4 linked regions of the Drosophila melanogaster genome follow. The protein of the gene in region 1 interacts with the protein of each later gene in a pairwise test. Each region holds a gene or a part of one and is shown in the gene's direction. Other genes may lie near its edges. The genes, in order: CG14071, CG7886, Gp150 and CG31224.

The links.
Region 2: the proteins of CG14071 (region 1) and CG7886 interact in a two-hybrid assay, tested with the Drosophila melanogaster proteins (one large-scale study listed by BioGRID).
Region 3: the proteins of CG14071 (region 1) and Gp150 interact in a two-hybrid assay, tested with the Drosophila melanogaster proteins (one large-scale study listed by BioGRID).
Region 4: the proteins of CG14071 (region 1) and CG31224 interact in a two-hybrid assay, tested with the Drosophila melanogaster proteins (one large-scale study listed by BioGRID).

Annotation. Positions count from the first base shown.
Region 1 is NT_033779.5:10,886,012-10,892,098, reverse strand, and holds CG14071 (uncharacterized protein), read left to right. Parts: upstream 1-3,171; 5' UTR 3,172-3,320; coding exon 3,321-3,731; 3' UTR 3,732-3,823; exon of another isoform or gene 3,824-3,830; intron 3,831-3,881; 3' UTR 3,882-4,454; downstream 4,455-6,087.
Region 2 is NT_033777.3:14,638,302-14,645,741, reverse strand, and holds the start of CG7886 (uncharacterized protein), read left to right. Parts: upstream 1-3,178; 5' UTR 3,179-3,506; intron 3,507-3,583; 5' UTR 3,584-3,722; intron 3,723-3,779; 5' UTR 3,780-3,862; intron 3,863-3,965; exon of another isoform or gene 3,966-4,129; coding exon of another isoform or gene 4,130-4,328; intron 4,329-4,394; coding exon of another isoform or gene 4,395-4,539; intron 4,540-4,598; coding exon of another isoform or gene 4,599-4,993; intron 4,994-5,053; coding exon of another isoform or gene 5,054-6,120; intron 6,121-6,205; coding exon of another isoform or gene 6,206-6,618; intron 6,619-6,674; coding exon of another isoform or gene 6,675-6,856; intron 6,857-6,910; coding exon of another isoform or gene 6,911-7,440. Other genes in the region: l(3)L1231 (lethal (3) L1231), read left to right, coding at 1-222, 345-446, 554-807; Cad88C (cadherin 88C), read right to left, coding at 4,130-4,328, 4,395-4,539, 4,599-4,993, 5,054-6,120, 6,206-6,618, 6,675-6,856, 6,911-7,440. UniProt on the Drosophila melanogaster protein: May play a role in cilium biogenesis.
Region 3 is NT_033778.4:22,319,587-22,329,803, forward strand, and holds Gp150 (Gp150), read left to right. Parts: upstream 1-3,316; 5' UTR 3,317-3,383; coding exon 3,384-3,439; intron 3,440-5,531; exon of another isoform or gene 5,532-5,588; coding exon 5,589-6,141; intron 6,142-6,196; coding exon 6,197-6,751; intron 6,752-6,809; coding exon 6,810-8,544; intron 8,545-8,606; coding exon 8,607-8,938; 3' UTR 8,939-9,828; downstream 9,829-10,217. Other genes in the region: CG34207 (uncharacterized protein), read right to left, coding at 9,829-10,134.
Region 4 is NT_033777.3:18,655,236-18,662,441, reverse strand, and holds the start of CG31224 (uncharacterized protein), read left to right. Parts: upstream 1-3,132; 5' UTR 3,133-3,682; exon of another isoform or gene 3,683-3,916; intron 3,917-5,256; 5' UTR 5,257-5,458; coding exon 5,459-6,277; intron 6,278-6,493; coding exon 6,494-7,206. Other genes in the region: Cpsf73 (cleavage and polyadenylation specificity factor 73), read left to right, coding at 1-626, 688-1,130, 1,194-1,283; CstF64 (cleavage stimulation factor 64 kD subunit), read right to left, coding at 1,415-2,537, 2,601-2,737.

The DNA of each region.
Region 1 (6,087 bases):
TAGAAGCCAAACGTGGAATGGTTCACCTTGAATGAATCCTGGGAACTAAGTGAAGTCCTTCAGTGGTTCGAAAAACATATGTCCCGCGAATTAATTATTTTTTTTCCAAATAAAAAACACTTACTATTATATTAATTAAACAAACTAAAATGAGCAAGTTGTTAATTAAATCTATTATAACAGCTGTTTTACGAATTTGATTAATTAAAATGAAGAAAAATACAATTATTTAACCGTTTCCAAACTGTCAATTAACCGATGTTAATCAAGTTTTCACAATTAACCGCCAAATGACAGCTGAAATGAACTTTCAATTGGTAAATCAGCCAACCATCCAGCTAGAATTAAAATTAATTAATGGCATTTGTTTCTGCAACTGGTTTTGCATGCAAGCAATTATTGAATAACGATTTTAATTGATTTTCAACCAGAAATTCACAAAACCCTCAAAATATCAGCCACCTCCGCGAAAGCAGACTTCCCCAATTAAGCACCAAAAAAAAGAGGTTACCCGGATTTTCATAAAAAATACTATCTACTATATGCGAATGCGTCTATAAAAAACAACACATAGCAGCATGTTTCATAAAAAAATTCGTTAGTTTTTTATCTTTTGCGCTGTGAGTTTCGCATACCTTCATATATTCCAAATTTCATTTTTCCCATCGTTGAATCCAAACCAGCCAAATGTTTGTCAAACATATTGGGTAGATATTTGTGCGCATTTGATTTTCATTTTACTCAATTTCCGTGCGAAATTTTTCTGTTGAATTGAACATTAGATGGGCAACATGTGTTTGATGCATTTAGTTATTGCAATTCCACGGTTACCTGTCACACCAAAAGGGTTTAATTCAAAATAGAATTTAATTAGGTTAATAAGAAATATATAATTAAGTAATCTGAATGTTATTTTAAATATAAATGAAAATTGTTCACGTACGTGTTAAATTTCCAATAGTTAAGATTACTACTACTACGTTTTTATTAAGTCTGTCTTATGTTACGAGCTCCCATTTATTTTCTTAACAAAAAGTTTCCGCGTGAGCTCTTCAGCTTACTCGACGACTTCATCTCCTGGTTTCCGCTGCTGAGTATTAAGTATACGCCCCGAGCAACAATGATGATGCGCAGGTTTTTTGTATTTTAACTTTCAGCGAGGCAGCTGGGCGGCAAGTAAATATAACCTGTCCGGAGTCCGGACTCCACCCTTCCCCCTACTTACTATCATCCTTTACCGCAGGTAAACCACAAGAATACCAACCACCCAACCTCCCACCCACCAGACCCCCTAACACGTGGTCGGTCTCCTTGTGAGCGCACGTGTGTACATTTTTAATTATGCGAGAGCACACAGAGCGACGAGATGAAAACAGAGCAGCGTGAATGTCGGGCAACTAACTTATTAAAAAGCACTCGACCGGCAACGTATATATTTGCCAAATAAAGCGGAAATTAGGGCAAACTAGGTGCACGCATTCTAGCCCCCCCCCCCCCCATTTCCTTCATTTCCCAAGGACGAATATCCAAGCCTATCCTTCCGTTCGCAATTTTCAACTGACCACCTTGTGGCGCAAGCAAGAAGTGGAAGTTACTCAAGCTAAATTTTCCCGCAAGTGATTTGCATAACTGTAGGCAGATGCCAATGGCTGTTGCTCATCACATTGTTTGGCATTTTAAGGGGCGAGTTATAGAGAAATGTTCGGAGAAAACCCCATGAAATCCTTCAGTAAGCCGGCTTACTGACTGACTGAAGATAACCTAAAAGTGTGCAAAGCCTATTAAGCTGGCAAAGCCAAGAGCAAACGAATAAATGAAAAAATCCAAGTGGATAGAATTGTTTGTGAACTACTCGTAAAAATGTAACTTCCATAACTGAGTTGGAAATTGCTTAATTTGACGGGGCTGGTCCGAAAATCGAGTCTACCGAATATCATATACCGTGCAGGAGTTTAAAACGGAAAAGTCGAAGATGATCAGATATCAGATAGTAAAAATGGTAGCCATTTTTTAAATCATTGTGATATTGTTAACAATACTTTTAAGCAAAAAAACAAAGATATATTTATTAATATATATTTAATATGTATTTTCATTATTATAATTGGTACCAGTTTCGAATGCAAATTTGCATATTAATTATTAGTGTAGATGTAATTATAATTCATTGGTCTTGAATAAATACATGTGTAATATTTGTTTGCTAAATAAATGAAACAACATACCCCTCATACTACCTCACAATCAGAGCACAAAACTACGCACCATAAATCTTACGGCCAGTGGAAAGGGACTGGGAATTTGGGCAGGGCAAAAATTATTACATGCCTCATTTGGCAGCGCCTTGAAGAGTCTGCTTATTATATTTTGATTATTTTCGGCACGCGTGTTTCGCAGGACCTCAAAGCCAGGATCTCCGCGTCGAGAGCTGTAAACAAATTCGTGAAATACGCAGACTGGTCAAGGGGCGGATGTCGATTTGCAAGGACGAGGAGGATAAACAGGACAGCTGGGTTTTTTTTTTTTTTGTTTTTTGTTTCGGTTGCATAATTTTTCATTTTATTTTTGGACTCGTTTGGCCTGCTTTTGTCCATAATGAGATATCTCTATCCTCCTTTGTTTCTTTTCATCATTTTGTCCATTGTGTTTCGGTGCTTGTTGTTTTTGCATTTCGCGAAATGCCGCTGGGAAATTCTTGTAACCAACAAAAAAAAAGGAGCAAAAATCCACTGGGCTCAAATGGCAATGATGGCGTCGAGGTGGTCTTATTAATTAGGACACGCGCCCTGAGTTGTATATATTCCCAAATATTCTCCACTTCAAATATACACGTGAACCTCAAAAGGGACCGCTGTTATTGTTATTTAAATGCATGGCAAGATTCTCTTTCAGAAAGCTTCCCTTGATTGCCAAATTTTGATTAGCATATAAATGCAGAAGGGACAAAAAGAAACTATATCTTTGTGCCGTTAACTCGTGGAAAATTTTAAACTTCAACACATTCTTGTCCACTAAAAAGAGATAGTACGAAAAATAACTATTTGAATGATAGTTTACAATGCTTCTGCTATCATCTACTCGTAATGCATTTCGGCTTAAACAATTTTTGAATGTAATGATCTATTTCCTTTTTTAACTACAGTCTTTTTGTTTTTTCTCGAGTATTCAGTGGACGCCAGCAACACATATTTACCAATCATAAGTAGGTAGCTAGAAACTGTTCGGATTTAAGGAACAAATTTATTGCTAAGTTAAATCAAATACTGCTCCACGTAGAAAACCACAAACTCCTTTCAACGGCGTAACTACACTGTGCAGCAATGTCCAGATCGGCAAAGGGCTTTGGTCGTTTAATCAATCCGGGCGTGGTACTCCATCCGGAACTGCATCAAAAGATGGCCGACTTTGAGGCCATGACCATCGAGCGATCTGATTTGGATCACGAATTGAGCCGATTGCGCAAGCAGCAGGACGATACCGAGGATAATTTGGCAGAGGCGCTGGCCGAGGACGAGTTCCAGTGCAATTTGAGTGGCCAGCCATTCGTTGCTCCCAACGAGGACGAGCTGCAGGAAATTCTGAGGAATCACCTCGGTAGCATTATCAACAAGCTGGCTGCCACGTACGAGCGCCTTATTTACCTGGATGCGGACATCAGGAAGCTGAAGGGAGTCATTGAAAAGGCCATCACAGTGGCTAATGAGGAATCGGCAGCAGCCGCCTCAATGTGAAGATATGTATTTAACCATTACATACGTTGTACTTCTACATATGTGTATCTTGAAAATTTCAGTTCGATTTAATGTGCAAGTAAAGTTTGCAAGTATGTTAAATGATTCGAAATTGCAAGGGCTATGTAAACATGTATTTGTATTCTCCAGCTTTGCCATATGTACCCGTGTGCCGTCGATAATCAGTAAAATATGTGTTACTTTTGGATAATGAAGTCCACGTTCGATGCAACGCGAAATCCATTCACACATTCCGCTGGACATCTTAAATCATTTTGGGTGAAATTAAAGCCGCAACAATCTCATTTCCGGTAATTCTTTATGCACTCGCGCACAGACAATCCAATGCGAGCCAGAAGACACTGCAAATTTAATTGCGTATACGCAATGTTGCCACTGCCGTCGCGGAAACAGCATCCGCTGCGGCAGCAGCTACACTCTGCTGACTCTATCGTTAAGTGCATAAATTCAATAATGCCGAGCGTCTGGCGGTGTCAACGCGCTGCAAATATATAGACTCGCCGGATCGATAAAGCTGAAGCTTGAAAATTTATGGAATTTCCTGTGCATTGAAAATGGTCGCCATTTACTGAATATATTTAAGTAAACTACAGCTCAAAACAAAAATGCATATGTTATATATTGACTTTACATAAAACCCCAAAATGTTTAGAAACATAAGAAATTAATTCTACTTGGATAAAGTTAAACTTAAACAATTCTATACCAAACTGTAACTTTAATTGCCAAGGGGACCACAAAATGGTCTGCGCTTACATGTATAAGGATGCAATTGCATATTTGTTGTTACTTTGCTTTGGTTAAACATTAATAGTCGGAGAATTGAGAAGGAAGTCGAGGTATATTTGAAGAAAGCCAGACTTATGGGCCCTGTCCTGTACTCTAATTAATTAAATTGAAGCGTTCGACGACGAGGTAACAATTTCAATTTTATTCCCGTGCCAGCCAGACTGGTCAAACAAGCCAAATGCAAATTTCCCAACCAGACATGGGTCTTAACAAGAACATTTGCATGAAGTCAATCATCTCGACCATTCTGGCCAGTGAACCGAAAATAAGACACTTTGGGTCTGTACCGCTGTGACTCTGATTGCCTTTCATCCCAGTCAATTGGAAAATTCGCACTAACAAAGCATTTGTGAAGGTTCGAAAAATGTCGGATGTATTTCATATTTTTACTTAATTTTGATTCCTGTTTGTTAAAAGCACATTTTAAAACTCCCTCGTTGCGCTAATCGCTTTCCAGCCAATCTGGAAATGTTGAGCTCATCAATTACAAGTGCCACAACTTAAAAACTTGGATAATAATTTTTTGAAGGTCATCCTTTCTCGTCGTTTGTCTTCATTATGATAAATTGACGTTGCGAACATATTTCATCTGAGCGCTGAAAATTAGAACGATGCGATAATGAGATGTTATTAATATCAACTTGCGACTTATTTAGTGACAAAACCCTTTTGGTCGCCCAAGAGAATAGCATTATGCAAAAATGCGAAGAGTATAAGAAAATGTTTAAACTGGCACAAAACCCTTTAGGAAAAAGAAAGAAAGAATGAAAAAAAAAAGACTAAGCCGCCTCTTGTTGAGCAGCCTTCAAAAGTGTCAAGAAAACAAATGACGGTCACCTTTTTTTTTTGTTTGCGTTTCTAAGCCAACCTTGAATAAACAGAAGTATGAGCAAGTGTTAAACTTTCTTTTCTTATACCCATCAGCGTTGCCTTTTTTTTAAGGCTCTCGCCTCGAAGCCCTATACCATGGGTTTTGTAACTTGAGAACATAAAAAGGACTATGGCACAAAAACTTCAACCATGATTTGACCCGCTATACTCGTTTATGAATATATATATTTTTTTTGTAATTACCAGGCAACCGATTTTTCTATTGATAATTGACGAATATACTTCAATGCTACACATACAAATATAAGTGGCAAAAAAAGAAATGATTGCTTAAATTCATGTAGTACAATTTGTTTTCAATTTGCTTGCCAAACAAACACATTTGGCACACCAAGAAATGCCACCACAGGCATAAAATACGGTCAGTCCGATAAGGTTGGAGATAAGAAAATTTGTGCCATGTAATAACAATGGGGAAAATAAAAAAAAAAAAACACCCCGGTTACAGCCGCTACACACATAAATCAAATAAATGGCAACAAAAAAAAGTGGACAGAATAAAGCAAATATAATGTAAGTAAATAGTAAATTGAACACACTATTTGTTTGCAGGGATTCTTTGTGAAAAGAAACTAAATATATTATCTACGCAAAGAAAAGATAAGTCTTTGTAAGCCTTGTTCTCTACATTTTTTTGTCACACATTGTATTTAAT
Region 2 (7,440 bases), on another chromosome or scaffold:
GTTTCCCCTCATTCAACACGGCCTTTGGCAACGCCATGGGCCAGCCAAGCAACACAATTACGCACAATGGCCACGCTGTTCCGGCAGTGCTGGCCAATACGGCCGATCTTCTTGGCCAGGACATGTTTGGTATTTGCGAGAACAGCTCGGCATACGCCAGTTCCGAGGATACCGGATTGGGCGGTCTCAGCGAGTCGGAGCTGATAGGCACTAACGATGCTGGTAAGTTTCAAAACGGTGAAACTTTTATGACTTCCATATAATAGCTATGTATATATAGAAGGAAGCTGGACAAATTCCCTAAGATTTTTTCAGTATTTTGACACGTTATTTCTCTCTTCCAGATGATATAGCATTGAATGGCGCCCACTTGCTGGAGGAGCACGATCTGGTAAATGTGTTCGACACGCTGTCAGACGATGCCTTCAACGAGCTGTTCCAATCCGGTGTGTATTTAACCACAATTTTACTTGTTCAGCTTTTCATTGTACTAATCCATGTGTGCCTTCGCTGCCAACGCCACCGCCATCGCCTTGGACCTGTGCCTATGCAGTGCAACAAGCCGAGTGCGAGGCTATGGACCGGGCTTTGGACCGGGCCTTACAGCAGACAATGGGCGGCTCGGCGGACAGCGCCTTTCTTAACGATTTCCTGGACGTCGGCGACGATCTGCTGGCCGATGCTGTGATGCACTCACCAAACACGTCCGGCATCGATGCTCCTCCCCTCTTTGGGGACAGCAGCAGCGGCGGTGGCAATAGCAGCAGCAACGGCGCCTCCGACATCCGGGGCTTGGTGCAGACCTAATTCCGGCATCAGGTCGGATTTATGGCCTACAGAATTTACAGATTCATTTAGAGAGACAGAGAGAGAGATTTTCAAGCTTGATTTCCCATTCACTTTTAGGCAGTTTTCGCTTAGAATTTCGGTATTTTCTTTTTGGCCATTTCTTACCTGCGATTCTAGTTTGGCACAATGTTTCTATATGCAGCTTCAATGTTATGCATGCATTCACCAGCAGATATGCATGAATAAAATAGCATTCAAAAACCATATAGTTATGCGTTAATGTGAAAAACAAAAAAAAAAACACACACAAAAAGTAAAAAATTTGAAAAAATGTCCAAAAATATTAAATTCAACTTTAAATCAACATTAAGAATGAAATGTATATGTATCCGTACGCAAAAACATAATATTGTAAATTCGCGGAGAGGTGTAGCTTTACGTACATCTTAACGTAACTTAATTTGTTAGTGAACCAACAAAAGGATTGTAGAGATCAGCTTTATTATACATATAAACGAGAAATTATAAAACAATACCAGAGCAAACAGATAAAATGAAACCGAAATTGTAGGAAATCTAGCAACAAATTTTGAATTCTGAATTAAAGTTACGAACGCGATACATTGGAAAGTTCGTTAACATAAACAAGCCTAAAATTTGTTTAAAAATTTTGTGAACGCATTTACAACAACAACCACAACACCATACACTCAAATGAGAATTGCAAGAACTACGAAAACAAAACAGGTGAAGCTGAAATTGTTTAGTTTGATTTTAGTTCTTGGTTTGCACCTAATACACATACACATACACACCCACACCTAAACACCAACACACATACATACAACGTACAAGGGACTAGTTTGAAACCGCGAATCGTATTACTAAATATATATACAACTATATATACTTATATATATAAAATATAGCTATATATACATAATACCACTTAATATATCTGTACACATACTTTTAAGTGTAAGCTTTAATTTAAACCAACCCACAAACAAAGAAAAGAAAACCCTATAACAAAAAAAAATTAACAGATTGTAAAAGTGTATACTTGATTTATTTTTAAGCTCTTTTATTTAGCCATTGCTCGATGGCCACAAACTTTGTTCGATTTTAATTAAGCCTAACAAATTTTAAAAGCAAAATTAGGCTGACCGACAATTTTTGAGTTTTAGCATGCGTTTGTCTATTCTAGATTATGTAAATTAACAAATATTATATAGAACATAAATGAATTGTAATTTTCTTTAGTCTAGTGACAAGCAGCAACTTATAAATCGAGATATATTTATACAACAATACACAAAACAAGCAAGAAAACTGTTACGCTTTAAAATACGATATATACCGCTCACTGGAGACCGATCCCCAAATCACAGCCCTCAAGAAAACAAAACAAAAAAATTCACACCCAAACCATTCCATCTCCATCCATTGTAAGTTTTCTCATTTCTCATCTGTCACGCGGAGTCTAAGCAAGTATTAAATGAATGAAAAACGTTTAATTACACTAGATAACTATGTATTTGTATATGTATCACGCATCGAATTTTCATTACGTTAATGCACCACCCATGGCACACTCAAACACTTGCATCTTTCATAGGAACTTTCGTTTGGGCATAGCGAAACGATAGAGCAGAAGGAACTACTTTAAAGATAATGGAACTCTGTAAAATATGATATATAATAATTCCCCCACACTCTCACTCTCTATCTCTAAAACCCTATATAGATATATTATATAAACGTATGAATTCGTTCTTGAGTTAGTTGATTACCGATTACCGGGTTCACTTGATTACCGATTGAGTTGGCCCGCACTTTACTCTGATCTACTTCGCTGTGCAAGTGACGCGAACAAAATTAATGTCCTTTTTGTAGCGAAACTACAAAACCATGTATTTGATTATATGCTTTAAACCCTATTTTTATAACACTTTAATTTGTAAGAACTGTAGCGATGAACCTACAACCCCGCATCCCTCCAGTAGCCGCCTCTTTTTCACCATTTGAAGTTTTGTCTGTTTTCGGTATGAGGTACAATTTCATTTTGTAATTTACGTGCATTTTTGTGATCTAATTTGTGTAACTATTATAAACGAAAAAAAAAAGAAATACAAAATACTTTAAGAAAACGAAGCAAAAAAAAAAAAAAATAAAACAAATCAAAGCAAATGAAAAAAAGAATTGATTGATTTTATGGCAACAGAATATTTTACCCTGAAAATATAATACAGTATTTTTAGTAAAAAAAAAAAACCAAAGCATCCTGGCTTGTCATTGATCAATGGGAAATCGGTATGGGGAACTGATGGCTGGGTATCGGGAATGGGAATCTCGGCAGGCGGTGACCAGATTTTCATAGACTCACATTCGTTTAACAACATAATTTTCTCCTAGGAAACAGTTAGTTTGCCTTGACACATACTCCGAGTAACTCCCGAAAACAAAATACAAAAAACATCAGCAGAACCGCCGAATTAAGAAACCCGCTAATCCTTCCCAGGATTCTTTCAGTGCGTTTCGTCGAGTTGTGGTCGAGGATTCAAATTCAAAGGTTATATTGAAAATTATTATTTTCTATTTTGTTTTCCTTGCTCGACCACCAACCCAATCGCATCTAATCGCAAGGAGCATTCAGTCCAGTGCAAAAGAGACAAAAACTGACCAGATCTGGTCCGGATTATCCCCGTTTTGCTAAGGTGAGTGAGTGCCATGTGGCGGCATTTCCTACTCTGGGTTGTCCGTATGCAGCGATTATTACATCATATCCTAGCAGGCGTGTCGTTTGCTGTCGGTTGTAATGCATACAAATGCCTATCTGAGCTGCCGTCTCCCCGATTAGTCACTTTTTTTGTACGTTTGTAAGCTGCCGCCAGTTTTCAGAGTGGCGCCACGGGGATACGTGGAATAGCGTGGTAAGTGGGCGCCACATGCTCCACCATCGACCCCACTAACCGACTCCTCACCACCAGTTGTGCTCTACGTATATTTTTATATCATCATTGCGGAACCACAAAGCTCTCGACTACTTTCTAACTGAGGAACTGAATCAAAGGTGAGTTCAATTCAGCATATTCTGTATATTTGCGCTATGACTCTTTCCCGCATAAATTGATTTAAATAATATGTAGTTATCACCGACAATTATTACTTTATTTGCTAATACAATTTCCTTAATTTGTACGAATGCGTATGTCGTAGGACATAGCAGGACTAAAACTGTGTTTTAAGCTTCGATATATTTACATGGTCCCTACAAGCTGAACTTAAGCTATCCTTAATCCAAGTGCCATAAATAAGAGGGGGGGGGGACTGTTTGGTGCTATAACTCCGTGGTCTCCAGTTTTCGGGCCAGGATCTGAGCATTGTTGGTCATTTTGTCGATTTGGTTGTATAGATTAAAGTGCCGATTAAGATCATTGCTGTTGTTGAATAGTTTGGCAGTTCCCTTGAGCGTTTCGTGCATATCCTGTGTGGCCACGGCCAGAAAGTTATCATCCAAAGAGTCATGGCCACCAATACTATGGAGAAATAAGTGTTATATATTTAAGTAAGGGACGATTTAGTGATTTCCTCTATTATCGCACCTGCCACTTTCTTCTGATTTGAACCACTCGTTGTCGTAACCCTTTAGCCAAATAGGATTTGATCCTTGGACACTGTGCTTGTTGGTATTTGGCACTCGAGTGGCCGGCTCCTGAGCGTCTTGCAGGGACATCGAGGAGTGACCACCTAAATGGAATTTGTGTATTAAATATATTAATTTATCTTTTATCCTAATCGTTACTTACGGAATATATTGACTTTAGCGGCTCTCAGCTGCCTGCGGTATCCATTCCGTTGAGAGGCGCAAAGTGCTATAGTGACTACCAGTAGAGTGGCCAGAAAGAGGTTGGTGAAAATCAGCCACACGAATAAAGGACCTCGGCTGGGTCCCGCGGTCAGGAGCTGAGCCTCTGCCGCCTGCGTGTCCAGCACGTTGAGCTCTTTAAATAGCCCATTCAGGCTTTCGATGTGCGAGTCAATCAGTTTGAGCACCTCGGATACCTCGTAGATTGAGTTATCCTCCCGCTCGACTAGATGCATGTACAGATCCGTCTTTGTCTTGTCCACCGAACCATCCTTGTTCTCATGAACCTTAATCTCATCAATGTTTACAATCGATTCTGTTATGTTGCTCAGGGTGCTAAGGTATGGAAATAACATTAGAAGGGGGGTTATACTTTAAAATCAACTCAATATTTACTCTCTGAAGGAGTCCACTCGAGATCGCAGTTCGTCCGGCTGAAGTCTAAACACGAATCGCACCTTTTGGTCCTCTCTTAACAAGTAGATAAACACATGGGCCACATCCTTCATTCCTGAGGTGTCGTTGGCCAAAACGACGAAATCGAAATAGCCCTTCATTCCCTTTTGTGGGTCAAAGTTTAGCTGCACTTCTCCGGTTTCCTGATCGAGAAGGAAGGGAGCTTTGCGTACGTTCTCCAATCCCTCGGAAAGAGTCTGTCGGATTTCACCCACTTGGTAGTATCCAATCCTTCCATTATCTCCTTCATCTGCATCCGTAGCCTCCACTCGCATGAATTTTAAACCGAAATCAGCATTGGTCGTTATACCACCAGTAAAGATTTTAGAACGGAATCTCGGTGGATTATCGTTGATGTCCAGCACGCGCACCTTTACTTTTATTACAGTGCTATCTAGTTCTGGATGGGTTGTTGCCAATCCTCCGGTTGGATCCTCCTGACTACTGTCATAGGCTTCATACGATAACAGCTCTGCATCTTCTGGTCCGTATTCATTACTCTCTGTCGATCTCAATTGTCGAGAGTGTTTGAAACGATCATATCCAAACTGTTGGTTATGCACAATGCCTCCCAATCTATTGTTAATCTCGATTCCCATACGACGACGTTTTTCGCCACCAGATATAGAATCATTTCTACAATTCTCAGTGGCACGAACATAGAGCGTAAAATTGGCAATCACCTCGCGATCCAGTTCACGGTCAACAGTCAATATATGGGTTTCGGGATCGAGACGAAAGTATCCCGCTTCGTTTCCATTCACTATAAAGTAGCACACCTGGCTGGGCGTATCATTCGGATCGTCCAGTTCCAACTGATCCTTATCTATGGTGTCCGGTAGCTTTATTCTTTCGGATCCTGGATCCGAGTGCTCCGTGAAGTTTACGGATATTTCGTTAACCATAAACTGAGGCTCATAATCGTTAACATTCCGAACATAAATCGTTAGATCCAAGTCTGAACTCAGTGAGGTTGGCAATCCCTGATCATAGGCTTCTATACGTATCTGTAATGAAAATTATATCATATAGTATATTCTTTTGTGTGTTTATACTTTAAAATTTGTAGGTATAAGGAGATTTGGCATTTACCTCGTGAATCTTCTGCTTTTCGCGGTTAAGTTGTTCCTTCAGAAAGAGCTCCCCTGTGCTGCCGTCTACTTCAAACATTTTGTAGCTGCCCAATGGATCGGGTTTGAGTCTGTATCTCACCAAAGCATTCTGCCCCATATCCCCATCACTGGCATATGCCTGTAGTATCAGCGTTCCCACAGTCGCATTCTCCGGAATGCGAACAGTGGTGTTATGAAGTGGCCTCACAAAAACCGGAGCGTGATCATTGAAATCCGATACGCAAATATCCAAGGTGTTGTGCACAATATTGGCTGGAAGGCCCATATCTCGCGTAGTTATAGTAAGGCTATAGTTTCCGTATCTATTGCGCAAACTTTTGCTAGCGAAGATTTGGGCATTCCAAGCGTCTATCTGGCGCAGCTCAAACATACCTTTAAGTGCAAATATATTTAGTGATTGAAAGACTTATTCTCCTTCAAATCCTTACCATCTTTGTTACCCCGAGTGATGGCAAAATCGAGTCTACCATTTGGCGTAGTGGGGTCATCTGCATCCTTGCCCACTATGCTTGCCACTCGTTCATGCAACTCGTGATACTCAGTGATTAAAACACAACTCATGGGCAAGTCAACCTCTGGTGGATTATCGTTCTCATCGAGTATGGAAATGCTGAAAGAGCTAAATGAAATAAATTTGTCAAATGCTTAAATTTTTATAACTTACAAAACCTGTTTGAAGGCATTGCGACTTTCTCCGGCCAGGAATCCGAATTGATAGTTATCCCAGGCCTCGATAACCAGGTTGTAGGAATCCTTAGACTCCCTGTCCAAACGATCGGCCACCGTTAGCACCCCAGTGTCTGCATCTATGGTAAACTTTCCCTGCGAACTGATGCGATCCATCAGGAAGGTGATCTTGCCAAAATCTCCCGAATCCGCATCTCCAGCCTGGAGAGTGGCAACTCTGGTGCCTGGAGCTGCATTTTCACTAATCGTATAGTTCTTGCTGCCACCCACAAAGTAGGGATTGTTATCATTCTCATCCAGCACTGTTATATACACATCCACCAGTGAGGATCTTGCTGGAATTCCAGAATCCGTGGCCCTCACACTGAAATTTAGCCACTGATGCTGCTCATGGTCAATCTTGCTGGCCACCACAATTTCCCCTGTTTGCGGATCCAGATGCATTAGTGATCGGTACGTGGGATTTCCTTCCAGGGCATAGGTTATGGTGCGATTCTTGTCCACATC
Region 3 (10,217 bases), on another chromosome or scaffold:
TAATTGGTCGGAGTACGAGTTTTGGACGTATGGCTCTATGGCTCTACGTCTACGGCGTGGAGGGCGAATTATGAATACTTAAGCACATCTTTTATGGATAGCCGTAGTTCGAGTTGGAGCTGGGCTTAAGTGGCCAGCCAAACATTTGCGATCAACTGGGTGTGTGGGTAAACTTGGTTTAGAGCCGTGTCTTACACAGAACTTAAGTGTCGGCACATGTGGCGTATGCGCAATGTCTCCGCTTTGCTCTGGCTCACTTAGAAGTTTTTATTTGGCACATGATTGCCATACGAAAACAGCGCTGGGTAAACTATTTCGAGAGTGATTTAACGATCCAGGATGTTGTATTTTAACAGCTTTGGCTAACAATGATGTCATATGAATGGGATTTGGATGCCTATGCCGCCGAGTGAAAGCCAAATGCAATTCTCTATCGCCGCTTGTTCACTGATCAATTGAGCGTGACGCTCGGCTCGCATATTTCGCACCCACATTGCGTTGACTTTTTACCTTAACCCTGAATCTAATCGATCAAGCCTGACAGTCAGACAAAGTGGCATTAGCATTAATCAATTCCTGCCATAAAACATTAGTCACCGATGGTCCCAAGCCAAACGAAACCAGCTGACAACTGAGTAAATGTTTTGGCCCTATTCTGCGCGACTGCAACTTTCTCCTCTTCTGCAATTGTACATTGGAACCCAGCATTTGGGGCGTTGGACGCTGAATCTCTTTGCGGGATTGCCTTGATCTGCTTTGGTCTGACCATAACTCAAGATCTCCAGATCTTAAGCCGATTTCACAGCCTCAAAGTTTGGGTTCAGGGTCTTGCATTGGACTTGGCTACACATATGCCCATGTGCCCGGGCTAATGAAATGCAGAGAGACTTGGCTAAAAGTGACTCAGAGGAGTGTGCTTACGTGCTGTGCAAGCCGTTTTGAGGCTCGGAATGCGGCCTGCCACATGGAACGTGGCCAACTACGTTGGTGGAGGCCAAAATGCAGCCATTCCAGCCCTTAATTTAAGCGATAAATGCTGCAAAAAAACCAAAACCAAACGTAAATATTATGTAGAACCATAAACTGTCTAATTAGGAAGATACGCTATTGATCAAATTGCTTAAGAGGTAACAGAAGTGGACACTTTTGAGCTTTCCTTTGTCCCACCTAGACTGTATTTTCATGGTAGTCTTACCAATGGCAAGCAAAACTGTTCTTTGTTAATTCCATTAACTTGATGAGTGTAAACGCTGATTGCAGGCCTTTTGACAGTCCGCGATCAGTGCCTTTCAACGCTCAGTGATGAGTTCTAGCCTCTTAACACTCGACACTTAATAAATATATATTGTAGATGGCTCAACGGGTTGACAATTCCAGGCATTTGTCTCTGGAAACGCTCGTTCGACCGATAACCAATACGTGATGGCGGAACGCTTTTGTTATTGAAAACAAAGCCTCGTTCGAGTGCAAAGTTTAGTGCAAAAAGGTCGGATTTATTTTTTTAAATCACACTCGGCTGGGTAAACAAATCAGGTTTCCGACGACTAAGCACAATGAAAAGCGCTTTCCAGCTTTTCAGCTGGGGGCAGAAAGTCGTGCCACAAGCCAGACTGCTAGAATCGACTTATCCGGCACTCTAAAAGTCGGAAGCTGGGATCGAAATACGATACAGATATCGCTAATGAACCGCCCCCGCCAGGTGAAAGCCGGTTTCTCATTTGCACCACCTCCTTAAGTTCTTAATTTATGTTACGCTTCCTGCTTCAGATTCAGGGCTATATATACGGTGCACCGATCGATCCAAACAAAGGGCAATTGCTGGCAAGGCGAGGAAGCAGGCATAAAACTCGGATTCGAATGGCTGAAATCAATTTATGGAGTTTTAATCACTGAATTCCCATGCAGGGAATTCCCTCAGATAACAGCAAATGCACTTTATCGACTAAAATGCAGCACACAAGGTGCAATTTTATTTCCGATCGATCAGAAGGCATTACTTCGCGATAAATTTTGAAAAGGTCTTAACTGAGAAATGTCGTTTCGCTCACACGAACTTGCAGCTGCTGCAAAATTTTACCCTGAAGTGTAATTAGTTTGCCGACTTGGCAAGTACGCGTCTCTTTTAAGCTCCAGTGACCTTCTTAGATAAGCTAATCGATTTCCTATAATCGAATAGCAATTTTAATTGATTATGACACTTCTCACTATATACTACATATAGTATTACAGACAATATGTACACACTAGACACTACAAAGTGTCATTGCGATTAAACTATTTACGTAAACATTAACGACTTTATTTTGATTGTAATAGAGCACATTCGGTGCGAAGAGTTCAAGCAACTCGAACGTGACACCATCGGTTATTATTTAGAAATTCCCTTTCGAAATGTTTGAGTTTGAGCGAATTGAAATGGCTTTTAGCAAGAATTTTTCGTAACTGGTAAAGTCATCTGCCTGACTTTTGGCTGCCACCGGGCTAACTTGGCTCACACATCTGCTCCGAGTTCGAGTGGCAGTTTCCAGCCAAAAACCAGTCTGGCCATCTTTGTGAGCCAACAGTTTCCCCCTTTTTGTACCAACCTTTTGTGCCAACTGCGTGTTAGTCTGTGTGGTCAAATGTCGGCATTTTTTATACTTTTGTGTTTATTTTTTATGTGCACGCCTTGGGCAATTTTGTCCATTGTACTGCCTGTCTGCCTGGCTGCAAAAAATTAACGTTGCAGAAATTATATTCCAGAATGGCTTCAACCGAGTGGGATACACTATGATATATAGATGGAAATGTTATATCTGAGCAGTTGGCCAGTGGTGTATTTTCTAGCAGAAATAACAATCGTAAATCGTCAAAATCCGCAGCAACTCGTGATGCTAATGAATCGGTCAACAAATTTGACGATGTCGTGATCCGCAGATTTAAAGCCGGATGAAATTGGCTTGAGCCACCCTAATGAAGGCATCAGCTGAGGCATTTCCGTTTCGCCTGTCCCTCCACTCTTTCCATGAATCGATATCCTTTAAAGGGGACACATAAGTTCCCGAAAAAATGCAATATTCTACCTACACGTCCGTTTCTCTCGTTTCACTTCCTGTTAACGCCAGCTATTTTTACCCAGACATCTCAATCACTATCTGCCCACGCACACAGACTCATGATCGCATTATTTTGGGTATTTCTTGGTATTTGCCAGAGACACATTTGTGTTGATCGTAAGACGGAATCAAGGCGAAACTACCTGAGTTCGAGGTTCATTAGCCAACCTTGCTAATCAACGGGATCTCTCTACCCAGAGGAATGCAGATATTTTTCGGGCATATACTTGGTATATTGACTGCCCAAGGGTCGCACCCAGTTTCCAATTTCCGATCGACGACGCACCCATGCACAATTTGATAACCGGGCCCCATCTGCTCTCCAATCCACATGACATTTCTGGGTAACTTGATACTTAAATGTGGGTTGGCGGGTCTCATGGGAAGCGTTTATAATTCTAATCTGTTGACAAAACCGACCACATGCCAACCGTCTGTGAACCAGTTGATAAAAACCGAAAGACAACCAATGGAGCCAAATCAAAATATACTAATAAATTGAATAGAGGTTTACGTTTAAACAAATCGTGTCTTGTATCAAGACTCGAAATCATTTTGTTAGGCGATACTCTGATACTCTGTGGAAGTGTGCCTTTAAACGAAGCGATCCAAAGTGTTTCCGTATCGGGTTACGTTAAGTACGGGGCCATTATGTATGACAGGGCCAGATCAGGGTTTATCTCGATCGAATGTCAAAGTGTTCTAGAAACAGTTTCAGGAAAGCATTTCCCCATTAGCTGGACGTTAATTAGATGCACGACACTACAAAGCACTCAGTTATAGATTTTTATTTACTGGCGGGGGAGACAGATCAATGGAGGGATGGGGCTTACCGATTGGATATATCCCGACTAGTCTAATCTTTACAGCTGTAGATAGCCGCAGCAATATGATGAATTGGCTGACTCACGAATTTCCGAGTGGAAAACGTATTTGCATACATGTACAAGTATGGCCAGTGCCAGTGCCAGTTACCGGTTTCTCTCTAAACTTGAACAGAGTCTACCCTCGTATAGCCCAGTTCAAGCGGACATCTGTGTATACAGACATATATACATACATATATCGCTGCAATGACAGAAATGGAATTAATTATGGTCGGAGTGTCGGCGGCGCCTTGGCCAAAGCTAAAGCCAAAGCCAATTTCAAGCGAGCCAAAAACCGCTGTCTTTCTTGACTCGATGAAATGTGTTAGCCGAGAGACCTAAACACGTTTAATGCGATCTCGAGACTGCAGTTTTCCCTTCGCGCTTGTGTCAGGCTCCCAGTCAACCTGACACCCACTCGCAACGCGGAGCTGGCTGCTAAGCGGTTTGCTGTGGGGTCTAATGAAATGCTCTAACATACGATATGTGCGCACATATGTTCCCATAGCCGCCATACTGTGTATTGGCTGGATAAATGCGATCTATTCTGGCCGCCTTAACTGCGCATTTTGCATTTTACACTTTGCTGGCGGAGTCGGATCTCTCGCGATCCCGGGTCGTTTGCCTGGTTACGAAAAGCAATAATACCCAAAGCTCTTTGTTTACCACTCGGCGAGCCACGGTCTCGAATTATGTGTTTGCTTTGCCATGAAAACGAAGGCAAACACAGGCGGTCTTTCAATAGGGCCATCCGCCATGGAATCCGCATCGAATGGGTGGAAAATGCATTCCAAAACTACGTAAATTGCATAAGAGACCTGGAGAGCGTCGAGTTTTCAGTCTGGTTTTGAGAATTTCTTAGAATCAGCGAGCTGGCAAACGAGTTCATAATCGGCGTCAAGAAACGCTCAGTGGGGATTCCCTCATATCGAATCGATTCCAAAAAGCACAATGTGATTACCCAATCGTTTAGTTAGGGTAACCAAACCAGTCGCGTGCAATCAAAGGGCAAGCAAACTGAAACTCAAATAAACAAGCTCCAGTTGATGACAGACCAACTCGAATCGCGAGATTGAGAGTCAGCAATTCTCCAGAAACTATTTTCGGCATATGCATTACTGTTAGATGATGTATACAGTACTAATCAATAAGGGAAGTACTTTGCGGATACGGTAGTGCGAATTGTGCTTTCACTGGATTCTGAGTAACGTGTTGAAAATACGCAGCGAATCATATGGGGTGCAAAACAATTGCCATTAAACGATAAGCAAACATTTGGAAATTCGTCGATTCGAATGTAGTGTACCTACTAAATTAGCATGCGAAATGATGTCAACTCTCCGGGTGCCAATGTGCTAATTGGGGCAGTCAACTTGGCTCACCATTTCGTCATGCAGATCGGTGATTTTTAAGGAAATAGGTGGACAATGTGCGCATTCTGAGACCAGCCATGAGCTCGGCCACCTCTCCAGAATGTGGTTGATTCAATAAACGCATATCTACTTATCTGGCTCCAGCAATTAGCGATAAGATAGGGCCCGTTGGGTGTGAGTCGTCTGTTTTTGTCATTTTCTCAGAAGCGGCCATTACTGTACTGTATAACGTTGAATTTCCTGGTCCATTTCAGTTTGCCCATCTACAGGAAAATGAGTCGCCAGTCGACTTGCAGGCTAGTCCTGCTGCTGGCCTTTACCCTGGCCCTAATCCACGCCAGCCACTCAAATACCGTGGGCCCCAAGATCCACTTCATTCATGACGATCTGACGGAAAACGAGCTGAACTCTGGAGAGGAGGTGAGCCCGACCGAGAGTCTGCCCAAAATCTCCACCCCCAAGGTAAAGGATTTACCCGTGGAGACGACCACCAGGAGCCCCACAAAAAAAACCACGTCCTCCGGCACCGAGAAGTCCCTTAGCGAGGAGGCTTGGAATGATCTGATGGAGGCGGCCAAGCACAGCCAAGCTTTGGCTGATGATCCACACTTCAACAAGATGCTCAATACTACCGTCGCCGCCGGGGAGAAGAACTCCACCGATACCGACGATAGCGAATACTATGACTACGATGATGATTACAACTATTTCGATGAGGAGACGGTGACGATTTCCCCCAGTCCCAAGAAGGCCAAGAGCAACCCCAAGCTGCAGCCCATTGTGGATGCCACCATCACGAAGTCCAAGGTATACTTCCCCCATCATCCTTAAATTCAAATAAATATGTTTTCGTACTTTACAGAGCAAATCCAACGACCAAAAGACCAAAGAGAGTGCTAACGATATCGACAGCGACTCTCAATATGACTACGACGAGGGTCTGGATGATGATGATGACGAGGACGATGCCGCTGACGACCTTTTGACCGATGATGAGCAAGTTGTCTTCAGCGAGGACGTTCCGTGTCCAAGATTCTGCCAGTGTGCCCGGAATGTCAACAGCTATCTGGTGGCCACCTGCAGCAGACTTGACATGGGCATCCAGAAGTTTGGCTCTGACATTACGGATTTGGTTGTGACCAATGTGGGTCCTAAGTACCCCATCCTGATGGGACCCAACTTCTTCCAGAATCTGGGTCTTAAGAACGTGGCTTCCATCAAGATCGCCAACTGCACCTTGGAGTACCTGCACGCCGAGGCCTTCCACGGACTGAACGAGCTGTACGCTGTTAACTTGACGGATGTTGGTTTGGCTATCATTAATCCCGATACCTTTGTTGGAAACAAGAAACTGCGCATGCTGACCATTTCGGGTAACGACTTGAGTGTGATGTCCAGCATTCACTATTTGCTGAAGGTGAGTGATTTCAAAAACCTTTACCTTGAAATCCAGCTAATAAATTATAATTTTGCAGTCTTCCAGCATTGAGGAGCTGGACTTCTCGCGCAACAACCTTATGGAGTTGAATCCCAAGGCCTTCTCCCATCTATCCAATGTCGTCTACATTAACTTGAGCCAGAACAGTCTCAAGAAACTGCCCGAGAAGGCTTTCGAGAAGGTTACTCTTCTGGAAGAATTGGATCTGTCTTACAACTCGCTGACTGAATTGCCCCGCGATATCTTCAATGGCACCACCCTGTCCATACTGCACCTGAAGTACAATACCTTCAATGGCGATCTGCACTTTGGCACCAAGGATCTGCAGCAGCTGGACTTGAGCTTTAACTCGATTGTCCAAGTGCACCACAGCATGTTCGACAAGATGCCCGGTCTGACCAACCTGAACCTCAAGGGCAATGGCATTAAGAAGATCCAACCGGACTCGTTCCTTACTTTGAAGAACCTGCGCCACATCGATTTGTCCATCAACGATCTGGACCAGATCTCGGGAATGCTGTTCTTTAAGAACTCTGAGCTGGATGTGATCCGTTTGAACGACAATCCTCGTCTGAGCCAGTTGCCCACCGATGGCTTCTTGAGCTACAGTGGGGAGTTCACCGTCTACTACCTGGATATTTCCAATTGCGCCATCGGTCCATTGGGTCACAAGGCCTTCTCCACTATGCCGCATTTGACCACCTTGAAGTTGGCCTGGAACAACATTAATCATCTGCCGCGCGAGATTTTCACTGGACTGCACAAGCTGATTGACTTGGATCTGAGCAACAACCTGATCACCCGCATGGACGATCTGATCTTCATGGACAACGGAGAGCTGACTAAGCTCAGTCTGGCTGGAAATCCCATTAGCCGCTTGTCCGTCCGCCTCTTCCTGCCGCTGCACCAACTGCGATGCCTGGACGTCAATGACTGCGAGCTTACCACCTTGCTCTCCGATCGCGACTTGGGTGCGGGTTACAAGATCTTTGACAGCCTGCGCTCCTTTAACGCCTCTGGTAATTTGATCAAGAAGATCTCTTCGGAGGATGTGAAGAGCTTCAAGAACCTGCGTTCTCTGGATATCACCAACAATCCGCTGAAGTGCACTCCCGACTTCCAGGAGTTCATCAGCTACGTCACTCTTCAGATGCAGATGACTCCCAAGCGTCTGCCCGTGCTGGCCAATCTGGAGGACGATGCTACTATTGTGCAGCTGGAGACTCTGGCTCAGGCTGGTTGGTCGTCTTTGGCCCACGAGGTGTGCAAGCATGCCGAAGGATCAGATCTCTTGGACGAAAAGAAGGCCGACAGTGCCGAAGCCAAACTGGAGAAGCGTCTGAAGGAAAGCGTGAAGAAGCTTAACGAGGATGAGGCTAAGTTGCTGAGTGTCCTGGACAAGAGTGTGCTAGACAAGAGCAGGCTGAGCAGCATGCAGAAGATCATGAAGGGATCGGTGAACACTGAAACCGCGAAGCCTGAGGAAGATGCTGACGAGGAGAATCTGAACAATGGCGGCGAGGATAAGGAGGATGACAGCAGTGACTATGACAGTGAGGAGGATGATGATGACGATGATGAGGACGATGATGATGACAACAACGATGATGATCGCTTCGAGGAGGCCAAGAAGAATGCCAAGGCTAAGGCCGATGCTAACAAGGCCTTCGACACGTTCGTGAACAAGGAACTGAAGCCAGTCCTGAAGACCGATGGTATCCAGGCGGAGGAAGTGGACATGTCTCAGGAGACCCGTGATAAATTCCTTCTGGGTAAGTTTTAGCCAATCATTCGTTGATGGAATGTATTCCAATCGTATGTTTTACCTTCTCAGAGAAACTGGGCTTCGACAGCGAAAGCGAGGAGTCAGATGAGTACACCGAGAAGATGATCTTCCACGGCGAACTATCCTACGACCTGGTGGTCCCACTGATCGTCGTGTCCTTCTGCCTCCTGATGATCGTGCTGTCCATCGCCCGAGTGATCTACGTGGTGCTGCGCAAGCGCGGCGAGCGCTATCGCATGGCGCTGCTGGCCTCAAAGAACTCGTTCGTATACCAGAAGTTGAGCGAGGACATCGTGAAGCCGACCAGCAAGGAGCAGAAGGAGCCCAAGCATCTGAAGCAGCCAAAGGTGCACCGATACGCGCCCATCAATCAGGTCTAAGTCCACCTAGAATCAGCAGTTCCGGGCCGGTGGCCGCGGAAATCGAACGAGTTGCGCTGTTTTTCTAATTTATAAGTATATTGATAGTTGAAAAAGTGGAAAATCACATCAGACAATTGACTAAACACAAGCACAAGAATGTAAGAAACAGGAGGAGGAGCAGTAGGTGGCAGTTAAAAGTATTAGCGAAAGTGCGAGGAAACAAAGCAACAACTAAAAAATACTTGAATCCAAATAAGAGATTGAAAGAGAGAGAATAAATCTTTGACAAAATCCTTTATCCTTGAAATATCCTGTACCATCAAATACTGTTAAGACCAGTCAAAGGTCCTTGGCAACAGCAGAGGTGGGCTTTCAGAGAACGCGTTTGATGAGCAACCGTTTCGAAAGCAACGGATTTGCAATTTATCAAACCTCTGCCCACAATCCGTATCCAATTAGTCCATATCCGGGAACAACTTGAAGATTTAGTGCCATTTTGCCAAAATTCAAACCGAGCGAAAATTACTTAAACACATTAAGGTTTCTAAACTGAGTGTCAAGTCAGGAACAAGAAACGAGGAGCGAGGAACAGAAAGTAGTAAGAGTTTTAGATGCGGGTCTGTGTAGCAAACGGTTAGGAGACTCCCTAGAATGACGTCTGATTTTTAATATGATCAAGAGATGAGAGAAATAATTAATGCATAAACTATGTTAAGACTTTTTTATTATCTTTTTTCCAATCGAAGGCAAGTAACAGCTTGACCTATTCGACATTGAAACCGATTCCGAAAACAATAAATTATTTTAACCAAACCGATCGTAATCTTTACAATGCATACTTAATAGACATACACACTTGCATACGTACTTTAAACAATAACATGCCTTTCAATAAAATTGAATATATTTTATCTGCGTTCAATAAAAGACTCAAGTTGACCGACATCCCCTTCCTCCTTTACGTAGGTGCTCAAATTCCGCTGGAAACAGAGTGCCAATTCGTTATCTTCCCGATCCCGTTTCAGTTCCTCTCTGACCTGCCGCCACATCCGTTCAAATCCACTATCGAACGGCATTCCCAGGAAGCGATTATGTCTGGAACGGAGTTCATTGCCGATCTGCTGCCACATTGCCTCGAATTCCCCGTCGTAGGGCATCCCTAGAAATTTACCCTCACATCCGGAGGATTCGAACATGAAGGAGTACTCAAACATGTTTCAGTCTAAAATATATTATAATTACAAAAATTACAAGCTTTTTTTGGAGCAACTAATTTGTAGGATTTAATCCTTTTTTT
Region 4 (7,206 bases), on another chromosome or scaffold:
TCGACGACAGATAGCTGTGAACAATCCCTTCGTTTTCCGCCACATTTCCAACCTGAAGGGTATCGATCACTTCGAGGATATCGGACCCTGCGTAATCATGGCGTCGCCGGGTATGATGCAGTCGGGATTGTCGCGAGAGCTCTTCGAGAGCTGGTGCACAGATCCCAAGAACGGAGTGATTATAGCCGGTTACTGCGTGGAGGGCACTTTGGCCAAAGCCGTTCTCTCCGAGCCGGAGGAGATCACCACACTGTCGGGCCAGAAGCTGCCGCTCAACATGTCCGTCGACTACATATCGTTTTCGGCTCACACGGACTACCAGCAGACCAGTGAATTCATCCGCCTACTAAAGCCAACGCATGTCGTGCTCGTCCACGGCGAGCAGAACGAGATGTCGCGTCTGAAGTTGGCCCTGCAGCGGGAATACGAAGCAGATGCAAGCACGGATATAAAATTCTACAACCCGCGAAACACACATGCCGTGGATCTTTATTTCCGTGGCGAGAAAACCGCCAAGGTGATGGGAAGCCTCGCAGCCAAGAACTCGGAGGTGGGAAGCAAACTCTCAGGTGTTCTGGTTAAGCGCGACTTTAAGTACCACCTCTTGGCTCCTTCTGATCTGGGCAGTAAGTAATAGTTAGTTAGTTTCTTTGTAAAAATGTCGATTCATTTAAATAATTCCCACAGAATACACGGATATGAGCATGTCTGTTGTAACCCAACGCCAGTCGATTCCCTGGGGCAGCTCGCTGAGCACTCTAGAGCTACTGCTGGATCGCATTGGAGCCGGATGCGTTGAGGTGCTGGAGGCGGAGCGAAAGCTGCGCGTGTTCGGCTGCATCGAGCTAACTGTGGAGCAGAAAATCATTGTGATGGAGTGGCAAGCGACGCATGTGAATGATGTGTACGCCGATGCCGTTCTTGCCTGCATCATGCAATCGGAGTTGGGCGGAACAAATCTGAAGGGTGCCACAAAGCAAACCAAGTCAGAGGACTCGCGCTTTCGGGAGTGCCTAATCGAGACGCTACAGGACACCTTCGGCGACAACTGCGTGCCAAAAATGTTCGAGGGCGATCTGCTGCCAGTGACGGTGAGCGGTAAACGTGCGGAAATAAATCTGGAAACCCTGGTGAGTGTTCGTCGAAGGTGCTTTTTAAAATCGAAAAATATCGTTAATCTACAATCTTTCCAGGCCATCAGCTGTGCCGAGGATGATGTGCTGCGACAAATGCTCAATACGACGGTTCAGAAGTTACACCAGACCCTAGTCTCCGCTCTTTGAAAACCATTCTATTCCGCTTAATAAATCTCCTTGTGTTGAAATGTTCTTTTTATTAATTGATTCAATGTTGAAAGTACTATAGTATGCATGAGCGAAATGGTGATTTTTCATTTGTTTCAGCCAGAGTAGTTTCAGCGCTGGGTACTCTTCGCAATCTGCTCTTTGAGCATGACAATACTGACCCGTTGCTCGGAGGGCAGCTGCGCAATCTGTTCGTCGGACAGCTGCAGTACCTGCATGATGAGGGCAGCCTTCTCCTGGTCGGAGGCATCCGAGGGCAGGACTCCATGGGCGCCTAGTCTGCTCTGCAACTGCTGAGCGGCCGCCTGCTGTTGTTGTGTCGGTGGCGGCGCTTGGGGGATTCCTTGTGGCGGCGCCTGCTGCTGAGGACCAGGTCCTGCCCTTAACCTGGGATCCATGGGACGCTGGCGCGGATCGCTGGGATAGGGGGCCGGTGGCGCCTGCGGAACGCCCTGCTGCTGCTGTGGGGGCATCTGGGCACGAGCTCGGGGATCCATCAGCGGCGGTGGCACTGGATTGGGTAGAGAAGCTCGCAAATCCTGGTCCATGCCACGGCCCATCATCCTGGGATCCATCGGCATGGGTCCACCCGGCACCATGCGCAAATCGATATCGTTCGGATGGACATTGGCCGGGAAGCCAGGTCCGGGAACGGGCATTGGTGGCTGGGGAGCCTGTTGCTGTTGCTGCGGGATCTGCACCTGCTGTTGCGGAACCTGTTGCTGACCCATCATGGTGTGATTCCCCGGCCCCTGGTGCGGATTGCCGCCCAAGACGGGGGGCATTTGGTTGGCCTTGAAGAGCATCCCGAGCGCCTGCTGAGGGTCCACGATCCTCATAACCACCATGGCCTGGAGCAAAGCGTACGCCAACTGAGGATTGAGCATTAGCATCTGGCGTGCCTCCGATGGATTGCTCACGATGCAGAGCTTCATCTGCTTCATCAGCTCGTACATTTGCTCCGGCGGCAAGGAAGCCACCGTTTTGGTGATGAGCTCGGGAGCATCCTCTGGTTCGCAGGGCTCGCCATAGGGATTCTCCACCTGGGGTCCCTGAAGCAGCTGCTGCATCTCCATGCGCGACTTCTCCGTACACGCGTTGTCCACTCGCAGTGTTCTGCCGCCGATCTCATAGCCATTCAGATTCCGCATGGCACTTAAAGCCGTCTCCTGGTCCTTGTACTCGCAGAAGCCAAAGCCCTTGGGTTTGCCACTTTCCCGATCAAAGACCAGTCTGGGGGATTGAGAATAGGAGGTTTACAGTGAGATATTGCATGGCTCTAAGTAGGGAACTCACTTCAGTGACAAGACCGGGCCCACTTCGCTGAAAATCTCCTTTAGCTTCTCCTCGGTGGCCTCGTAGGGTATGTTCCCCACAAAAACCGACCGCATGGACTTGTCCATTATACTTTGTTCCTGCGCCTTATCTGCCATATCTGTTGTTTGTTATTATTTACTGCACAAACTCGACAAAATCTTAGCAAACGTTGACAAACTTGTCTAAAAAATTCCCTGCGTTCCGGCTTGCTGTTTCTTCTTCTTCCTTGAATAATTTCCCTTACCAGGGATTCATACTTTTCATATACTTTTTGGGAAATAAAGCGGTATGGGACGCAAAATATTAAACAAAGTGTAATAACAGATACGCAAGCCATTTTATTTTATTTTCTTATCTAAACACCTGAGAAAATAATTAACAGTATTGGTCTAATTTTTGGGATTCTCATCCATTGCCATCACTTAGAAACGTAGTATTTAGCAAGAAAATAGCTAAATGCCCTGCTTAGCCAAAAATACCACCACTGCTAGTGCTGGTAAGTTCCCGCAGCCCGCATACGTTTTGCAGCACTCCAACGCCTGGTGTTGTAATTTTTCTTGTCGCAAGGTGAAAACGATTTAAACGGTTTTTGATAGTGAAAAGTGCACCAATATGCACGAATTGTACACCAAATTGTAGATGAAAGTGGCGTTTATTCGTTTTCTATGCGGCAATAGACAAAAAACGGCTCGAAGTGCATGAAAAACGTGCTTGAAAATATTACTTTGTGTGTAGCCACACGCACTCCAACACACACAAACGCACACACACACAGACAGAGGGAGATAAACGCAGCGATGGCCTCGCAGTCGCACTCGCACATATAAAAAGCTCGCTTGTATATTGGAAGAAGGAGCGCACAAAGCGGAAGACGAGAGGAAAGATTTCTGTGTCATTGAACGAGAAAAAGAAGAGAAGAGAGCCTCCTGGCTCCTGGTCCTCCTGTTCCAGTTCCTCCTCCAACTCCACTTCCTCTTCATCTTTAAGCGGCCGCAGGTGCACCACGCTCTTTACATTTCCAAGGATACGCTCTCAGCCGCTCTCTCTCTCGATCGATACTGGTAATTAGCTGGCGTCCTCTCTTTGTGGAAGTGTCATTCCATTCCATGGACGAAACGAAAACGAAATCGATGGCAATGGCTGGTGAACAAAAGCGGAAATATGTGCATTTTTAAATTGTGTGTGTCTGTAATTATGTGAATAATAATCAGCAGAAAAAAATCGTACAATAAGTGGCAAGATCAGCGACATTAACGCACACAAACAAGCGCGCGTGTGTGCACACTGGAAAAAAGGTTGGCTGGCGATTGTTGTCGCTGCAAACTGGGATACTGGAATAAATCATAATGCATTTACGCACCGTGTGCTCCTCAATTTTTCGACAGTCTGTGTGTGCATGTGTGCATGTGGGTGTTGTGTGTGCGTGGTGTGTGTAACCTTTGGCAAAGGAAAAATCAATAGCAACAGACGTAGACATTTGTTTGCCGCTGTTTATGTGCAGCCCTCGCATTGTCCTTCGCCCCCAAAACAAAGAGCCACCCTTGCAGAGATGGCCAAATCCCAAAAAAGAAACAAGTGAATGTTGGTCTGCAGACAGACTATAAATAAAAGCAAAAGTTATCGCAAAAGGCAAGCAGCAAAAGGCAAACCAGATGAACGGCCAATAACTCGTCAGCAGGCTGGGTCTGGGTCGTTGCCTCTTTTTTTCCGATTCTGATTCCGTTTCTTCCTGCTGCTCTGGCTCCCCGAGAGAAAAAAGCTGCTCCAGAAGTTGTCTCACCCATCTGCAACCGGCATTCCAATCCGCCATTTCCATTGCCCAAACAGGACCTTCTAATCAGAATTCTTATGTTGCTCTACTCAGAGAATGTGGTTAATATGAACGGATTCGAATATAAGACATGGCTTTACTAAATCAATAGAATCGATTTAAAATGGCACCTCTGATTTCGAAAATGTGGAATCGACTTTAAGGGTGACTGTGTTGAGGTTGGGTCTGCTTTGTGCTAGAAAAGTTTATTGACTCTTGTTCTCTCATTTTGATCCTTTGCGATCCTCAATTATTAAATATGCCTTGTATGTTTAATTGTACTTATTTGGTAGCTTTCTAAAGAACAAAATAATTACTGGTAAACCAAAATCATTATAATCATCATATTAGAAATGCACTCGCTGTTGAAACAATTTTATTTTTATCATGCTTTTATTTTGTTGGCTTTTAAAGAAATTACTCACTACAAGAAACTTCCAACGAACGTTTTTTTACTGATTATTTGTGCTACCCCCGATAGTAAAACATTTGTGGTTTTAATTGAGTTACTTTCAACAGTTAGGATGCACGATGTGCGAAGGGTTCTTCCAGTCCAAATCACCTTTCTATAAGAAAAGTAGGGTTTATTATTAAATTATCAGCTTTATAAATTTGGATTGGTTTTGTAAAAAGACGCGTTTGTTAAGATTAAACATTACGCATTCCGTGGATACTTGATCACTTGGATCGCCGGACGGCGCATTCTTCGCATATCGGGTATCGTTTCACCGAAGACGTTGATATCGGAGCGCAGAATGTGCCCAGGGACTGGTACAGTAATTTCTGGCACCAACATTCTGACATTCTTTATATTCTCCAATGCAGCTCACCCGCGTCGAATCAGAGGATTGAGCAAGATGGACGCCAAGCCAAGGAGATACGCTGTTTTATGACTCTGAAGGGCAACCACGCCAGTCATCCGTCGCACTAGAAAGCTAGAAGCCAGGCTCCCAGAGAGCAGGAGCAGCCAGTGAGCAGGAGTAGGAGTAGGCAGGAGCCACACATAGAACAATCTAAAATCGTCATCATGGTCGACAACAGTGTCCAATGCCCCGTGTGCACATTGTACCTGCATGCGGGCATGAATCTCTCCGATCACTTGGAGACCCATCCCAAGGAGCAGGTGATCAAGGCGCTGGTGCAGATGACGATCGTTGGGAACGGTGGCAACAGCATGGGCAGCGTTCTCGCTGCCGCCATGTTGACAGGAGGATCTGGAGGAGGTGGATCCAGCGGCGGCGAAGCCAGTGCTGATGAGAAACCGGCCGTCTTATCACCCCCTTCTGGCGGCGATGTCAAACCAGTCGTGGTCAATACCATATCAGCAGCAACAGCGCCTGTGCTGCCACCAGCACCACCACCGCTATCCTCCTCCCTCGTGGCGGCCTGCTCCAACGGAGCCGCCTCTTCGACAACCAGCTCCACACCCACCTCCACCTCAGCAAGCAACAGCAGCAGCCTCAGCAGCAGCAAACCGAGCAATCCACCGATGAAAGCACTGAAATGCTCACCGCCCACAACTGAGGCGCGAGCCAGCACATCCGCACATCCCACCACGAGCAGCGTGTCCACTTTGTACCAGCCAGCGCAGGTCACTCCGGATTATCGCTTCAACCAGCAGCAGCAGCAGCCGCAGACGTCGGGCTTTGGGCGTGGTGTCACCACCTCAACAGCCGCGCTGGTGATTCCGCAGGTGCCTCAGCAGCACTTCCTCGCCAGCCATCAACAGCAGGCTCACTTTCCACACCAGCAGCAGTCCCCGCAGCAACAGCAGCAACATTCGCAGCATCAGCCTGCTCTGAAGTTCAGCTACGCCACAGCTTTGCCCCCACCTCCGCCGTTGCAGGTGAGTCCGAGTCCCAGAAGTTATTTGTCCCGTCTTAAAGGGTGCAATCAAGATTTAATGCAGTACACCTTTGAAAAGAAAGGGGTAATATTATTTACGAAAAGTATTAAGAAACAAAATTAAAATGTATACCCACTGTACCCTTTATGCTTATATAAATTTAGTATTTATTTTCGAATTGAATTCCGTTCTTAAGCAACTCGAATTTCTTTACAGCTATTTACGCAGCAACAGCAGCAGCAACAGCAGACGGTTGTTCCACCGCAGACCCAGCAGCAATCGCACCAGAAACCACCTCCCGCCTATGGAGCCGCCATTAGTCAAATACGATCTCAGCACAACCAAAACAAACAGCAGCCACAGTCCCAAAGCGTGGCCATGCAACCCAACCTAGCCCTGGCACCAACGACGACATCAGCGGCTTCAACTTCACACGCAACTGCAGCTGTTAAGCAGCCCAGTAAACCTCATACGGAAGTATTCCTGAATCCCCCACCACCGCCATCGGCACAGCAACAGTTGCAGATCCACAGTTTAGTGCAAAATCAAGGTCAACACCATCAGCATTCTCACCCGCAGCAGTCGCAGCCGAGCCAGCAGAGTCACCAACAGCCACCGAGCTTGCAGACCTACGGATTAGGGGTCAGCAATAGCTGCAGTTCCTCCAACAACCCCTCGACCTCGGGATCTGGTCATCGTGCGAATCGTCAGACAAACTCACCGTTTGGAGCACTGCTTAATGCTGCAGCGGCAGTGGCCTGCGCATCGCCGGCCTGTCCCACCACCTCATCTTCGGTATTGAGGTTTGCAGAATCACCGGTGGCACACTACCTTGAGCGGGAAAATGGTGACTTCATTGTCCAGGAGACACCGAAGCATATTGTAGAGTGTGTGGAGAAGGAAGACGGCGAGTTTTCCGTGATCGAACG